4 linked regions of the Macaca fascicularis genome follow. The protein of the gene in region 3 interacts with the protein of the main gene of each other region in a biochemical or structural test. Links are inferred from orthologs where the notes say so. Each region holds a gene or a part of one and is shown on either strand. Other genes may lie near its edges.

Region 1 (3,551 bases), on a different chromosome or scaffold from region 3:
TAGGCCAAAAGGGACATTTCTCCTCCTGATCAATTCAGACCAAAACTAAGTTCACAGACTTGAAGAATCTTGGTTATACTGTGCGGTGGGAAGGAAAGAATGGAAGCTTCCTCAGCAGGTTCCAGACTCCCAACTTGGAGCCACCTCTGGACTCATCCCGATCGTCTGAATCCTAAAGTTGTCTGAATCCCAGTCGATTTAAGATCGCAGGTTTCATTCTCCCCCCACAGAATGCTGAGAGCCGCCCAGCCCATCTGAACCGTCACTGGCTGTGACAATTCCAGACGCTCCAGTCTGGAGGTGCACAGGAGTGGCTGTCGGGTTGAAAAAGGAGGAATTAAAGTCCCCCGCGCCCCTCCTCTCGCCGACTCCTTAGGGTATTCACTGCGCATTAAATTGGGATCGTCGCAGAAAACTGTAACCCCATCAGGAAAATAATATTCACAAAGAAAGCAGACAAGAAGTTTCCCTTTAGAAAGCCCCTTGTGAGGGTCTTTTGGGTGTGGGTGCTGGGCAGCGAGAATGCCTCCATCCACGCCCCTCGCGAGCTCAGGACCGACCCATCCAGCCCCCTATCACGCCTACGTCAGGGTTTCTAGCCAGGCGCTGGGGCCGCGTTAGGGTCAGGCTAAATGCCTACAGGTGCCAAGTCAGACCTGAAACGAGGCAAGTTAGGTGTAATCTTGCTCTTCCGTAAGAGTTTGAATCCACCCACCTCCCCCAAACAAAACAACAGCCTCGGAATATTTTTGAATAATGCAGCCGAATTCAGTATCAGCTTCATCCAAAACGGCAAACAAGCCTTCTTCCCTCGCCAAATCGGAACTCGAGCTGAATTCAGGAAAAGGGGAAGGAGAACAACCTTCCCTCGCGCTCCTCGCCTCCGCGGGGGTCCCCTGAGACCCCCAAAGCCCGGGACCTCCGCTGCGGGGCGCCTTCTCGCGTCGCCCCGCGCCGCGCTCCGGGTCTCCCAAACCTCGCGCCCCCTTGCTGCCGGCGCCGCTAGGGTTAAAAGTTACCTCTCGGTTTCTTCTGCCTGCAGCCCCCCCCACCCCCGGGGGCCGGATGATGTAACCCCCCTCCCCGCCCCCCTCCACCATGTGACACTTTAATTAATAATAGCGCCGTCAGCACAACAAACGCACAACACAAGGAGAAACTTGGTGTCCAGGGGAGGCCCCCGGCGGCTGGAGCGCGGCGGCAGCGGGCGCAGAGGCCGGAGGGAGAGGAGGCGAGGGGCGGCCCGAGCGCGGGGCGGGAGCGAGGCCAGCGGTCATGTGCCCGTGCCCCCTGCACCGCGGCCGCGGCCCCCCGGCCGTGTGCGCCTGCAGCGCGGGTCGCTTGGGGCTGCGCTCGTCCGCCGCGCAGCTCACCGCCGCCCGGCTCAAGGCGCTTGGCGACGAGCTGCACCAGCGCACCATGTGGCGGCGCCGCGCGCGGAGCCGGAGGGCGCCGGCGTCCGGCGCGCTCCCCACCTACTGGCCCTGGCTGTGCGCGGCCGCGCAGGTGGCGGCGCTGGCGGCCTGGCTGCTCGGCAGGCGGAACTTGTAGGAACGCGGGGCTTCTTGGTGGGGCCGGAGCCGAGACCCAGCCGGAGCAAGCAACAGGTACGCGAGCGAGCGACCGAGAGCCAGGGCGCGGCAGCTGGGCACTGGCCCGGGAGCGGGAGAGTGGCAAGTTTGGCTTTTTTCTCTTCCCTTCTCCTTCTTCCTCCGTTCTTTTCTCTTGCAAGCATCTCCGGCTCCCCTCTCCTACCCAGTCCCCAGTCTTTCCTTCCAAGTGTCAGGTCCACCATTTCTGCCCCTATCTCTCCGAGTCCTTAAGCGCATCTTGCTACTCACTTATAGCTCGGTGGCTTGAGGAGGACTTCAACCTCCATAATCCCCACCAGCCCCACAAATAAACACACAATGCAAATAAAAAGTGTGCCTGCGATGAGAATATAGTTGTAAGCCACGGCAAATACTTAAAGTCTATCGCAGTTCCAAGAAAGGTCCTCGGTCCCCTTCCAAGCCTCTTGCTGTTCCTGAGTCGCCACCGTCTCCATCACCTTTGCTCCCAACCTCTTCTCCCTAAGTGTCACTTCTCCAATCTCTGATCCCCATTCTCTGGCACCGCAAGCGCATCTCGAGACTTCCTCCCCTTCCAGGTTTCTGGCTGGCCCAATCTTTCTTCCCAAGCTCCGCGCATTTGCAGTTTTCTTCTGCCCTGCCAACGTCGCTCCTTCTCCAGTGAGGTGTCCTGTTTAAGGAGTTTGGCTTCCTTCTCTCCAGACGGTTGTAGCTGCGATGGGAAGGAGACGCCTTCGGAGTGGGCTGGAATAGAAGGCTTTCAGGCAAACTCCAATGGGAAGCCTTAAGGAAGGAACATTTATTGAGCTCCTTCGGGGTGCTGGGCACTGTTTAGGGGGGTAATGCTTTGAGAACTTAGGACGGGAAGTGGGTATTGAGCGCCTAGTGTGGTCGGTATCAGTGGGAGGAAGATACTAGGTTCTTGGGGTGGGGGAATTATTGTGCCCTAGCTGTGCGCCTGGCACTGTGCTAGGCGCTTTGAGGAAGCGCACAGTGTAAGCATCGTCTTACTACTCTGGATCCTGGAGTAGCGAGGAGCGCTGCAGAAAATGAGGGAGAATCAGGCTGAGCCCACCATAGATGAGTCTAGGGCCGGAAGGTGAATATCAAAGGTGACATAGCCAGCCGCCATTGGGTCCCCGCCGCCGAGCCCCGCCGCGCGCCGCAGACACCCTGGGAAGTTGGAGCGGCGCCCGAAGGCGAGGCCCGAGCGTCTGCGCCCGCGGGGAAAGGCGGCAGCCGGAGCGTGGGGGGTGGCAGCGCCCAGGGAGCTGCGGGGGTGCGCGGGGTGTGAGCCGGGACCGCAGGCGACAGATGTCGCGTGGGCCCGCGCAGCCCGGGCGCTGGCAAAGAGAAGTGCGCACTTCGGGGCGCTCTCCGCTCGGCTCCCGGGCGCCGGGGGTCCCATCCACTTCTCCCCGCCTTCTCCCTCTCCTGTTGGAGAGGCTGGGAGCTCCCGCGACTGAAAGGGGTCAGGCTGAGGCTGCCCAGTTCCAGGGACGGGAAAAACATTTTAGATCTATCGCGGGGAGCAGAAAAAGGAAGTTGAGCGACAGACGCGAAGTCCAAAGCGTGGAATTTGGGAAGAGGCAGAAAAAAAAGTGGGTGAAGAGGGAGAGAAAAAACAGGCGACGAGATGGGGAGGGACAAGAAGTTTGGGGAGGATAGAGAAAAAGAGAAACTGCCTGGAAAACAAGTTGCAAGACAATTGAAAAGTGAATGAGAAGGAAAGAGAGGAAGGGAGTAAAATCAAATAGCACTGTGGAGAGGGCTGGGACACGTCTTTCTCTGGTTCTGTTGTCCAGGAGACTGGATAAGCGCTCCCCTCCTGGGACCAGGCGTGCGGGATGTCGGGTGCACCCTCCCGGGAGGCGGAGGACTCGGGCCGGAGCCTGACTGTGTTCCCGTTTACCGGTGTGTTAAGTGTCAGGGATGGGACCGCTCCCGGGGCCTGGAAGGGGAGGCTGCGGGAGGGGCGGG
Region 2 (4,027 bases), about 79 Mb from region 3:
ACCAACCAACAACAACAACAACAACAACAACAAACTACAAAAGCAAAGAAGGTCCAAGGCCCAGAAGGAGGGAGGGGCTCTGAAGACTTTATCAGGCTTTACCTCCTCTGGTCCTCCCAAAAGCCCAGCTCTTGGTAGGTGCTGTTGTCCATTTCACAGATGAGAACACTGAGGGGGAAGTAATTACCCTACAGGTGGGAAGAACAGAGTGAGGGTACCCAACAGGTAGCAAACGACAGAGCTGGGGGAGGGGAGCCCCTGCCCCTCCCCTGCCCCTCCCCTGCCCCTCCCCTGCCCCTCCCCTAATCTCTGAGGGGATCAAGACAGAGGTAAACAAGCTTTGCTGTGCGCAGGACAATTGTTACTTTGTTATTCCAAGAGCGCTCTGCCTTCTCCCACCCCCAATATACCCCAGTGCCGCTGTTAGGCACTACTCATCCCCGCGGGGCAGGCTGCCACCAGCCCACCCCGCCTGGAACCTTCCTGATTTCTCTGTCCCTCGCGGGGGCTTTGGGGTCCTTCTCACCAGGTCTGCACGTGGGCCCCCTGCCCCCAATCCCTCCCGTTCCGACCTGCCTCTCGCGCACCCGGAGCCCCGACGAGAGGGGGAAGGCAGGGGGTGGGTGCTGCAGCTGGAAGGCTGCGGACGGGCGGCAGTGGAGGGCCAGTCCCCCTGGCTTCGGGTATGGAGCACTGGATGCTGCTGCTACCCAAGTGTGAACCTCGGTTTTCATATTCGTGAAATAGGCTTAAAAACACCTAAGTCCCGAAGCTGCCAGCCTAAGGAGCACGTTTTTGAACGCTGGCTTCACGCTGTCATTTAGCAAGTCATTTCGTCCTCTTGGAGCCTCGGTGGGTAAAATGATCGTGAAAAAAAGCACCGAGGAGTACTTTGAGCTCGAAGGGAGGCCATCTGTGTAAAGGGCTTGGATTATACACCCAGATTCTGTCAATGGATCGATCTCGACTGCACGCCCGTGCTGGGCGCAGGGGAAACAGCGACGCACGGGACAAAACAAGCTTGCAGAACCGCAGGGGGCAGAGAGGCTGTAAACAAGCCAACCGGCTGCACTTGTAGCGGTTCTGTTGCCAATGCCATTCAGACCCCAGTCCGGGATTCCGCGCTCGGGGTGCGAGAGGCCGCTCCCGGGGCGGGGCGGGACCCGGGCGGGGCGGGAGGGGCGGGGCGCCCGGACCTATTAGGTCCCGCGCCGGCAGCCGGGCAGTAGACACGAAGCTTCTCCGGTGGCTCACAGACGCTGCCAGCATCGCCGCCGCCAGGTGAGTGCCCCTGACCCTGCTGCCGCCCGCCGCTCCACCCAGCTCGAGCCCGGCGGTTAGCGCCCAGGCCGCGGCCCGGGTGCCGAGCGGCTGGAAGTGTGGGGACCCGTGCCCAGGTTTTTCCGCCTCAGCAAGTCGCTGGCGAGTCCCTTGTGGGGCGACGTCTCGGGACTCCGGCTCCGAAACATCCCCTTTCTGCCCAGGGCTCCAGGTCCCCGACGGCCGATCGTGCCAGGCGCGGCCCCTGCGGGCCTCAGTCTCCGCGCCTGTGCAATGGGGTGGTTCCTCTGCGTCTCACCGCTATGGCCGGACGCTCCATCGCCCTCGCACCATCCTCGAGGGCGGCTTCCGGGCACCGGACTCCGACCTCTGGGGTCGTGCGGACCCGGCCAGAGCGCAGCGCGGCACCGCCAGCCCACGGCCGCTGCCGCACAGCCCCGGTGCCCTTAAAAGAGGGAAGATGGCGTCGTGCCCGGTGCTGCTGGGACCGGCTCCCAGAGGCGCTGTGCACCTAAGGGCCGAGGAAATGCTTCGTAACGGGACGCCCAGAAAGTCCGGAACAGGAACGTGCACCCGGAGCGGCGCGCAGCCGCCCGCCCACACCTGCCCATGCGCCCTGCACAGGTGCGCCCCGGACTGGTCGCGGGGACTAGAGCCCGGCTGGGGCGTGCGACCTTGTTAGGTAAATTGGGGGTGCGCCCCTGCGGGTGACCCGAGAGGGGTCCCCCCGCCTGCGGGGCGCGGTCACGACAAGGCTTGTGGGGTTCGGAGCTGGTCGTCGTCTGGGCTCTGGCCTCCTAAATGCGATCGCTTTCAAGCCCCTTCATTGTCAGTTTTGCCAGAATGAGCCACTTGTGGGGTAGGACGTGGTTGTTGATGTTGTTGTTGCTCTTACTACTGTAACATTTTTGTTGCTGTTTTAACGCAGTGTTTACTGTGGCCTGGGAGCCCGAGCTTCCCAGGGAGGTTGGTGTCTGCCTCATGTCCCCACATTAGGAGGAGCAGAGTCTGGTGGGCACTAGCGCCGGGAAGTTATTAACATCTGTCCGTCCTTGGGAGCAGGAGGCCTCGTTTTCCAGGTGGAGAAACAAGAGATTTCAGTCACAGGAGGCACAGAAATGCCAGGGTTGTCTAGCTGGAAGCCAAGGACCCTTTATGGAACCCAAGCCAAAACCTCTTTACACTCTCCAGCCCTGTGGCCTCCGAAGGGCTATTCCATCTCTCTGAACCTCAGTTCCTTCTGTTCATTCTGCAAAATGTATTTCTGAGGTTTCTGCCCAGATGAAGAAAGCCCGACTCAAGTTAGTAGCCTCCGTGTAGTTAAGACTTACCCTGATTTCTACTTAATTTGGGCATGTCTTTGGAATAAGTTCTCAGAAATGGCACAGTCTGGGTGTTTTTTTGTTTTGTTTTGTTTTGTTTTTTGAAACAAGAGCTTTGCTTTTGTTGCCCAGGCTGGAGTGCAGGGGCGTGATCTCGGCTCACTGCAACCTCCACTTCCTGGGTTCAAGCCATTCTCCTGCCTTAGCCTCCCTAGTAGCTGGGATTACAGGCGCCCACCACGACACCCAGCTAATTTTTTGTATTTTTAGTAGAGACGGGATTTCACCATGTTGGCCAAGGTAGTCTCGAACTCCTCCTGACCTCAGGCGATCCACCCACCTCAGCCTCCCAAAGTGCTGGGATTACAGATGTGGCCCCATGCCCGGCCCTTTTATTATTATTACTATTATTATTATTATTATCATTATTGTCTTAAGGATATTAAGACTAAAATTCTCACACATTTGACACGTGCCTGTAATCCTAGCACTTTGGGAGGCTGAGGCAGGAGGATTGCTTGAGCTCAGTAGATTGAGACCAGACTGGGTAACATGGTGAAACACTGTCTCTACCAAAAAAAGCAAAAAATTAACTGGGCATGGTGGCATGTGCCTCTGTTCCTAGCTACCCAGGAGGCTGAGTTCAGAGGACTACCTGAGCTTGGAGGGGTTAAGGCTGCAGTGAGCCCTGATCACACCACTGCACTCTAGCCGGGGAGACAGAGTGAGACCCTGTCTCAAAAAAAGGAGCATTAGGCTGGGCATGGTGGCTGACATCTGTAATCCTAGCACTTTGGGAGGCCGAGGGAGATGGATCACCTGAGGTCAGGAGTTGTGCAACTAGCCTGGCCAACATGGCAAAATCAGTCTGTTTTAAAAATGCAAAAATTAGCCAGGCGTGTTGGAGTATGCCTGTAATCCCAGCTACTTGGGAGACTGAGGCAGGAGAACTGCTTGACCCTGGGAGGCGGAGGTTGCACTGAGCTGAGATCATACCACTGCACTCCAGCCTGGGCCACAGAGTGAGACTCTCTGTCAAAGGAAAAAAAAAGCATCAAATGGTAGATCCCCAGTGTCTGTTACAGCTCAGGTACTCTATGGCTAGATAGAGGGGCTGCATACATATTAGTTATTGTAAGTTTTTTTTTATTTGAGACGGAGTTTCACTCTTGTTGCCCAGGCTGGAGTGCAATGGCTGGGAATACATGCGTGAGCCACCTCGCCTGGCTCAAGTTTCTTACACATTTGACTTGCCTGTAATCACAGCACTTTGGGAGGCCAAGGCGGGAGGATTGCTTGAACCCAGGAGGTGGAGATTGCAGTGAGCAGAGATGGCACCACTCACTGCACTCAGCCTGGGCTAACATGAGACTCCATCTCAGAAAAAAAAAAAAAAAATGATATCTTATGCCACAGAGCTGCAA
Region 3 (3,688 bases):
TGAGATTACAGGGTGTGAACTGCCACTTTGTTTTTCTTTTGTTATAGGAATGTCAGTCATAGAATCTTCTGCTGGGTGAGGAAAGGCATCACACCTTTCCCCGACACCCTACAGCAGCCAGAGCCGTGCTTGTGTCTGTCTCCTCCACTAGAATGAATGCTACGTAAAGGCAAAGATTTTGTTTGAAGAAGTCCCCAGTGCCCAGGACTATGTCTGTGTAGAGCAGAGCTCAGTAAACACTTGCCAAGTGGCTGTCTCTCCCACTAGAATGTCAGCTCCTGAGGGCAGAGACTCTCTGTCCCATCACATGCAGCCCCAGTGCCCAGCACACAGCATGTGCTCAATAAAACCCTGTCCTGGTACAGGTGGATACATTCAGGCCCAGAAGGAAGGAAGGACTTGTTCAGGGCCCTCCCCTGCGGTGGCAGAGCCAGGACCAGTACCCAGCTCTCCAGTGGCCCCTCCTTTCTCCATCCCAGAGCACACAAGAGCCCAGGCTCTTTGTTCACTGAGTAAACACAGTTTATTACTGAACTGCACTTTCACCTTCACACAGACTATTTCAAAGAGCTGGAACAAGTGTGGGGTGGGGGTTGGGGGAGGGGCAGGTGCCCCTCAGGAGCCAGGACCCTCGGCCAGCTTCCCTGGACCAGGGCAGGGGAGGGAGCATCAGGCCGTCCAATCTCCGGGCACCAGCTCTCCACGTGCACGCGCACTGCAAGCCAGCAGCTCCTCACACATAAATACAGACACGCTTAACAAAAATAGTATATCATCTTCACAAGGAATAAAAACTAGTCTCGAATATGTACAGCAGAGCGCCCGGGGTGGCTGGGACCCCTGGGGATGAGACAGGCCAAGGGTGGAGAAGAGAGAGGGAGGCCTGAAGAGCTCCTGGCCAGGCCACTCTGACCTTGGTAGCCTGGCTCCCCAGGCTGGACAGGCGTGGGGCACAGATGTGCCTGGCCAGGCAGGACTGGCCCTTCTAGTCAGCCCTACCCCACCCCATGCAGCAGGCTCTCCTTCCTGCCCTTCCTGCCTGAGGTAGGGAAGAGCCTGGGGCTCATAGCTGTTCCTGATAGCTTCCTTTCACCTTAGGACTGAGTCCCCTGAACCCGCCATGAGGAGCAGCCCAAGCCTGTGGTGCCACAGGCTGCTCTTGTAGGAAGTGAGGCAGCTGAGGCCATAAACAGCTCTGGGGCACCTGTCTTGGGCCCAGTTGGTCCCTCAGTCATGGTCATGGGAGCCAGGGAGGGGAAGGGACTAGGGTGGTGCTGAACTGCAAGGGCCACCCTAGCATTGGCATGGGGTGCTTCCTGCAGCTATAGCCCCCTCCCTCCTGGGTGGGGCTGGCCTCTAGCCAGAGGCTTCTGGAGGACATGTGGACTGGGAGTGAGGACTCTAGCCAGTCCAGAGGTGAGGAGGGAGTCCTGGTCCTTGCATCTTTATCCCAAGCAGCCTGAATCCCTAGTCAAAAGTGGCCCCTAAATGGCTCTTAGGGGGTAGGGATGGAAGGAACGGGAACCCAGGTTAGTGTGGGGGGGGCGGGGGAATGATCAATTCTGAGGCCACAAACATCAAAACAAAGGCAATCTAGTCTCCTTTCTGGGGAAGAGGTTCTGAAAACTTTCAAGCTCCCTGGCAGAAAAACATTTTCAGGGAGGCTAAAGGGTAAGGGTTGCACCAATCAGGTAGGGCCCTCCTGCCCCTAGCCACAAACCCTTCCATACCTGCCAGCCTCCTTGGGATAGATTTTGTGGAAATTTTATGAATTCTGAGGCCAAGGGAACTGAGGTGTGGGGGTCTCACAGAAGTGTGATAAATTCTAGAAAACTAACTGCAGGGGACCAGATCTGGGCCCAACCCTGTGGTGGGTAGGTGGGCATGGCCTGCATATAGTGGTTCTCCTGGTGGCAATGGCGGCTGGACGGAGGATGTGGTGGGGCAGAGGGTGGGAGGGTAGAGTGGATAGTCAGTGTCTGGTCATTTCCGACTGAAGAGTGAGCCCAGCAGAACCACGCCGGCCACAGTCATGCCCGTCAGGAACCAGCGGTTGAAGCGCTCCTGGCCCTTTCGGCTCTCGGCTGCTGCATTGTTCCCATAGAGTTCCACAAAAGTGTCCTGCAGGGAGAGAGAAGGAAGGCGCAGTTTGAATTCTCAGAGTAATGTAGGTGGGTGGGGAAAGGGGCCATGTGCATGCTATGGCCTTGGTGACATGAAAAACTGTAGCCATCCGTGCCCACTCTGGGCCAGGTAAAGGGCTAAGGGTGGTCCTCTTTCTTGACCCTCAGTTGGTGATAACCAAACCATGTTACTGCTCAGAAAACAGGTAGAGAGGAGGAAAGTGCCCTGAGGTCAGCAAGTAGCACTTTCTCCAGAATCCAAGGTGGGAACGAGATGGGCAGGGTCAGGGAACTGATGGAAGCCAGGTGACTGGAGCAGAGTGCAGGAGAAGAGGGCATGGGGGAGATGATGGTGCAGGGGTGAGCAGGAGCCAGACCATGTGTGGCCGGGAAGCCGCGAGGAGCCTGGAGTTGAGTCTGAGGGTAGTGTGGAGTGTGGAGACACTAGGCCTCAGACTTTCTACTGCTGCACCAGAGGGAGGGACAAGGAAGCCCAGGGCTAAATCCCCAGGGTGATTTGGGGCCAATTCAGGGGTAGACTGGGTCCTGGGACTTCAGCCAGAGGCTCCTCCCTCTGGAGGGAGTCTCTGGTGGGCAGGTTGGTGATGAGAAGAGCACGGCAGAGAAGAGAGGGTAACAATGACGCAGGACTGAGAGGCCTCCATGATGGGGTCTGTGAGGCCTTGTCCCTGTCCTCCACTGCAGGGAGTGTGACTCTGCGCCCAGGAGGTTGTGATCAACAGCCCTCTGCTCCGAATCTAAGTCAGAAGGGAAGCACATGATAGGGGGAAGGAGGAGCTGTGGGCTAAACTACCCAGCCCAGGGTGCAGCAGCCTGTGGGGCAGGGAGAGGGACACTTAGAACATACTTTTTTATGAGTAAGCATTGTACCCAATTTGTCCTTTAATCCTCCCAACAATTCTGCAATGCAGGCTGTCTCTCCCCATTTACAGGCCAAGAAGCTGTGCCCAAGGGCCAAGGACCCAAGGAGTAGATCAAGGTCACCCATCTGTGTCAGTGGTGGAGCCAGAATCCAAAACTGGTGTCTGGCACCTAGAAATATGTAAGAAAGAAGTTCCAGGCTGGGTGTGGTGGCTCATGCCTATAATCCCAGCACTTTGGGAGGCTGAGGCGGGTGGATCGCCTGAGGTCAGGAGTTAAGACAAGTCTGGCCAACATGGTGAAACCCCGTCTCTACTAAAAATACAAAAATTAGCCAGGTGTGGTAGCACGCACCTGTAATCCCAGTTACTCAGGAGGCTGAGGCACGAGAATTGTTTGAACCTGGGAGGTGGAGGTTGCAGGGAGCAGAAATCATACCACTGCACTCCAGCCTGGGTGACAGAGACTCCGTCTCAACAATAACAACAACAAAAAAGTAAGTTCCGTGTGTGTGTGTGTAAAATGAATGAGTTACTGGCTGATTCTTGCCTCTCTACCAAGACCTCTGCCACACTGGGCCTACATTTCCAACCGGTCCCAAACAGGCGAGTGGCTGCTCCGTCAGGGCATGCCATCTCCAGTTGGCCTCAGGTCTCACCTACCAATTTGCTCACTTGTGACCC
Region 4 (4,003 bases), on a different chromosome or scaffold from region 3:
AGCCCCGCCCCCCACTTCACCCGCAGCCTATCACGCGCCGCGTCGCTTCCTCTGCCTCAAACCCGCTCACGCCCGCGGATGGGCGCGCGGCTGTGACGTCACTGCGTCGTTGGTAAGGGGCTGGCGGCCGGGGGGCTGCGTAGCTCCCGGCCCCGAGGCAATGCCCAAGCGGGGCTGCCCTTTCGCGGACGCGGCCCCGCTACAGCTCAAGGTCCGCGTGGGCCAGAGGGAGGTGAGCCGCGGCGTGTGTGCCGAGCGCTACTCGCAGGAGGTCTTCGGTGAGTGCCGGAAGGGCTGCCGAGGGTCCACTGCGTCGGGGCCTGGAACGGGCCGGACCTCAGTGTCTCCTCTGAGGCCTGAGCGGGGGGCTCGAGGGCCCTGCTTTCTGGCCGCGGTTACACAAGCTGGCCACGCCCAGGGCTGGAGTCAGTGAGGGGGATGTGAGGACCCCAGCGTTCACCCACCTTGTCCAACAACCTGAAAGAAGAGGGTCGCTGCCCTTAGTCCCCGTGCCCTCTTCCACGATCCCAGTTAGTCGCCGCCCCTCAGTGAGCGGCAGCTGCCTGGTGCTTCTTCAGGACTGTCCCGTGCAGGATGCCCTGGGAGAGGTCGGGGAGCGGGGCGTCCTGCATGGAGTTAACCTGAAGAGTGCCCCTCCTGACCCAAGAGGTATTCATGGAGCGCGCCGCCCCTGCCAGGCACTGCGGCTGTCCTGGGAGACCAAAGGCGGGCAAGACAGATGTGTCCCGTCTCCCGGGAGCTCCGCAACCTAGTTGGGGAGACCAGCAGGAGAAGGAATCGCCACAGGTGATCCGGGCAGGCACAGGTTTGTGCAGTCGCACCTGCAGGGACGGCATGGAAGGCTTCTCGGAAGAACAGAGTCTGAGCCGAATGCTGTGGGGAGAGTGCGAGTTAATCAGGCAGAGGCAGGGACGGAAGAGGCCGAGGCAGAAGCCAGGCAGCAGGAGAGCGAAGTAGGACTCCGTGTGGCTGGAATGTCCAGTTCTGGGTGGGATGTGAGGGCAGTGAGCTCCCAGGCCTTCTCTGGCTTTCTCCCTTGGATTTCAGGCGTGTTGGTCTTATTGATCATCACTCTGACTGGGATGATTAATACCCTGGGGCAGGTGCAAAGTGGAGCTTACCTTGCCTAGTGGTTGGGGCACAAGGTCTGCACCTGTAGAGCCGTTAGAGGATGACCCGGGGGGTGTGATTTGTCTGGTGCCGCTTGTGCCTTGGGGATGAAGGAAAGACGCTTCCTCCCGAGGTTCCTGTGTGCCGTGTCTCCAGTGTGCTAGGGCTGTGCAAGCGAGTGCTATCCCGGGCCATGCGGAGTTAAGAGGAATGATGCCATGGGAACTGTGGCTGGACTGCAGGCGCCTGCCCTCTCAGGACAGTTGAAAAATTCAAACACTGTGCAGGCAAGAAAGGAAGATGGAAACGGGGCCTGGCTCAGTCTGGCTCTTTACTCTTTACAAAGTAGGTAAATGCAGGACACCTACTTTGAACTGTGTGACAGTTTCCAAATTCCAGGCCACAGCTGTCACCCTGATCTCTTAACCTCGAATTGTCCACAAGGCCTTAAGGACAAGGATTAGCCTCACCACATGTCTGTCCCATTCCTTTCCCATTATAGATGGGGGAAGGTATGGGGGGCCAGAAGGAAGAGGTGCAGGGTGTTGTGGGCTGGCATCAGCTACTCCATTTGAGTTACCCACTATTATTGCTGCCCATTTCATGTAAAGCCACATAGAGTTTCTGGGATCTCTGCCTTTACTGTGTTATAATGAGGTGGGAAAAAAAAAGCAAAAACAAAGCATTTCTGGGTCTGGTCCTGGGCATCTGATTTTTGGAACCTCCCCCAGTGACTGAACTGTGGCCTGATGGAAAATCACTGCTCCCAGGGATGGGTGGGTATTCTAGAACGAGATCTGGAAGGTTCTGGGATGCTTGTCTTGCCAGCAACTCTGTAGCAGGCGAAGGGGGTGTGCGCTGGCCAGAGGCTGCAGGCCCAGCTCCAAGCTTCTGGCTGCTTCCTTGGCAGTGACAAGCTTTGTGAATTAGTGCTCCACAGTGCAGAGCTCCCTCTGTGCATTCCACAGAGCCTGCTTTCCAGGTGAGGAGTGCTGGGGAAGCAGAAAAGGGAGAAAGGGGAACAAGCTCAGTGAGGCAAGGCCGGCCGTGAGTTGCCGAAAGTGAGCAGAGTGATAGGAGAGGGAACCCTTGCATCAGGCACAGGTGGGGCTGCAGGGCCTGAGCCTTCCTGGAGGAGATGACAACTAAGCCAGGTAAGGAAGGGAGGCACGAGCATTCTCAGAGGCAGAGCAGGACCCAGCTCGCCAGGGCACAACACAGGCTGGGGTCACTGGGTGACAGAGGGCACACAGGAGGACGATGGGGTTCATGTGAGGCTGGAAAGACTAAGTGGCCATGCAGGGGCTTCGTTGGTACACAGTGAAGGATGTGAGAATGATTTGTCTTCCCCCAGAGAAGACCAAGCGACTCCTCTTCCTCGGGGCCCAGGCCTACCTGGACCATGTGTGGGATGAAGGCTGTGCCGTCGTTCACCTGCCAGAGTCCCCAAAGCCTGGCCCTACAGGGGCGCCGAGGGCTGCACGTGGGCAGATGCTGATTGGACCAGACGGCCGCCTGATCAGGAGCCTTGGGCAGGCCTCCGAAGCTGGTGAGTGGCACCAGCAGCCCTTCGTGGCTGTGGCACTGAGAGCAGGTGGTGGCACAGGCACTTTTCTTCATTTGCAAGCTCAGGCTTTTCCTCCCTGGGGAAGCAGGAGTCTGACCTAGAGCTTGGCCTTCTGGCTCAGAAGGCTCCTGTTATCAGGAGGTCTCACATTCAAGACTGGAAGTGATTAAACAGTTTCTAACTACTGGGCCAGAAAAGCAGCAGAGACTCCCTGGGTATCCCATCTGCTTTCCGCGTGCAGCCCCCTGGAATGGTCCCACATGGCTGGAAACACGCCGCTCCCATCCCTGTGCAGTGTGGAGTGTGGGTCTCAGAGCATCACCTGTGTTGCTGGTCAGAAATGCAGTCCCCGACCCTACCTCAAGGCTGGTTGGTGTGTCTGGGAGGAGCTCAGGCACCTCTTGGTTAACCAGTAAGGCAGTGGGCCACACTTTGAGACCCAGATGGGACACATGGAGTTCGACAAGCAGCAGGGGAAGAATGATCCTTCCAGCAGGTAGCAGAGGGACCTGGTGAGGGAAGGAGCACTGAACTTGGAGTCACCTGCAGGCATGTCTCACGTTGGATCTCGCTAGTGAAACGGGGTCCTGTGCACTGTGCCAGGCTTCTGGGTTGTCAGAAGGACCCAGTGTGGGTGAGGATGGGGTAAGCAGGTCGGAGCCCTCTGCCCTCAGGTGTGCATGGAGGCAGGTAGCCCAGCAGTCCCGGAAACTCCCGTCTCCTTGCAGGCTGACAGCATGGCGTTTCTTCCTCACAGACCCATCCGGGATAGTGTCCATCGCCTGCTCCTCATGTGTGCGAGCCGTAGATGGGAAGGCCGTCTGCAGCCAGTGTGAGCGAGCCCTGTGCGGGCGGTGTGTGCGCACCTGCTGGGGCTGTGGCTCTGTGGCCTGTACCCTGTGTGGCCTCGTGGAGTAAGTACTTCAGTCCCTGGAGCTGCTGAGGTCCCGTAACCCCAGAAAGCTGTGACGGGGGACAGGTGGGTCACCCATGTTGGGAAGGGCCCAGAGCTCCCACATGTGTGGCACCTGATGCAGTGCCATCTGGCATTGCCTAACGGGACATGGTGGCAATAGATGCTTGGCCCAACTTTAGTGGTAGTAATCCTCTCTAAGGGAAAGCTCAACCTCACAGATGACCTGCTGTGTATCCAGCTCCGGTCCCTGTCTTCAGCCGCTTCCTGTTCTGGTCTTTGAGCGCCCCCACCTCCTCCTCCTCTGGCCTTTGAGCACCCCCCTCCCGGTCCTCCTCACTGTCTGAGAAGCCCCTGGTTGGTGACACAGGTGCACACTGCAGCTTCGCCAC

Evidence for each region.
Region 1: the proteins of BCL2L1 (region 3) and HRK interact in a biophysical measurement, tested with the Homo sapiens proteins (3 studies listed by BioGRID and IntAct, with this or other methods). The link is inferred for Macaca fascicularis from reciprocal best matches to the Homo sapiens genes BCL2L1 and HRK.
Region 2: the proteins of BCL2L1 (region 3) and BIK interact in a test that uses a peptide from one of them, tested with the Homo sapiens proteins (3 studies listed by BioGRID and IntAct, with this or other methods). The link is inferred for Macaca fascicularis from reciprocal best matches to the Homo sapiens genes BCL2L1 and BIK.
Region 4: the proteins of BCL2L1 (region 3) and SIVA1 form a complex in vitro, tested with the Homo sapiens proteins (2 studies listed by BioGRID and IntAct). The link is inferred for Macaca fascicularis from reciprocal best matches to the Homo sapiens genes BCL2L1 and SIVA1.

The regions. Positions count from the first base shown.
Region 1 is NC_088385.1:123,848,729-123,852,279, reverse strand, and holds the start of HRK (activator of apoptosis harakiri), read left to right. Parts: upstream 1-1,141; 5' UTR 1,142-1,275; coding exon 1,276-1,551; 3' UTR 1,552-1,607; intron 1,608-3,551. UniProt on the Homo sapiens protein: Promotes apoptosis.
Region 2 is NC_088384.1:8,473,708-8,477,734, reverse strand, and holds the start of BIK (bcl-2-interacting killer), read left to right. Parts: upstream 1-1,227; 5' UTR 1,228-1,281; intron 1,282-4,027.
Region 3 is NC_088384.1:87,749,910-87,753,597, forward strand, and holds the end of BCL2L1 (bcl-2-like protein 1), read right to left. Parts: intron 2,122-3,688; coding exon 1,984-2,121; 3' UTR 501-1,983; downstream 1-500. UniProt on the Homo sapiens protein: Potent inhibitor of cell death. Inhibits activation of caspases. Appears to regulate cell death by blocking the voltage-dependent anion channel (VDAC) by binding to it and preventing the release of the caspase activator, CYC1, from the mitochondrial membrane.
Region 4 is NC_088381.1:172,949,032-172,953,034, forward strand, and holds the start of SIVA1 (apoptosis regulatory protein Siva), read left to right. Parts: upstream 1-1,203; 5' UTR 1,204-1,349; coding exon 1,350-1,476; intron 1,477-2,485; coding exon 2,486-2,680; intron 2,681-3,455; coding exon 3,456-3,612; intron 3,613-4,003. UniProt on the Homo sapiens protein: Induces CD27-mediated apoptosis. Inhibits BCL2L1 isoform Bcl-x(L) anti-apoptotic activity. Inhibits activation of NF-kappa-B and promotes T-cell receptor-mediated apoptosis.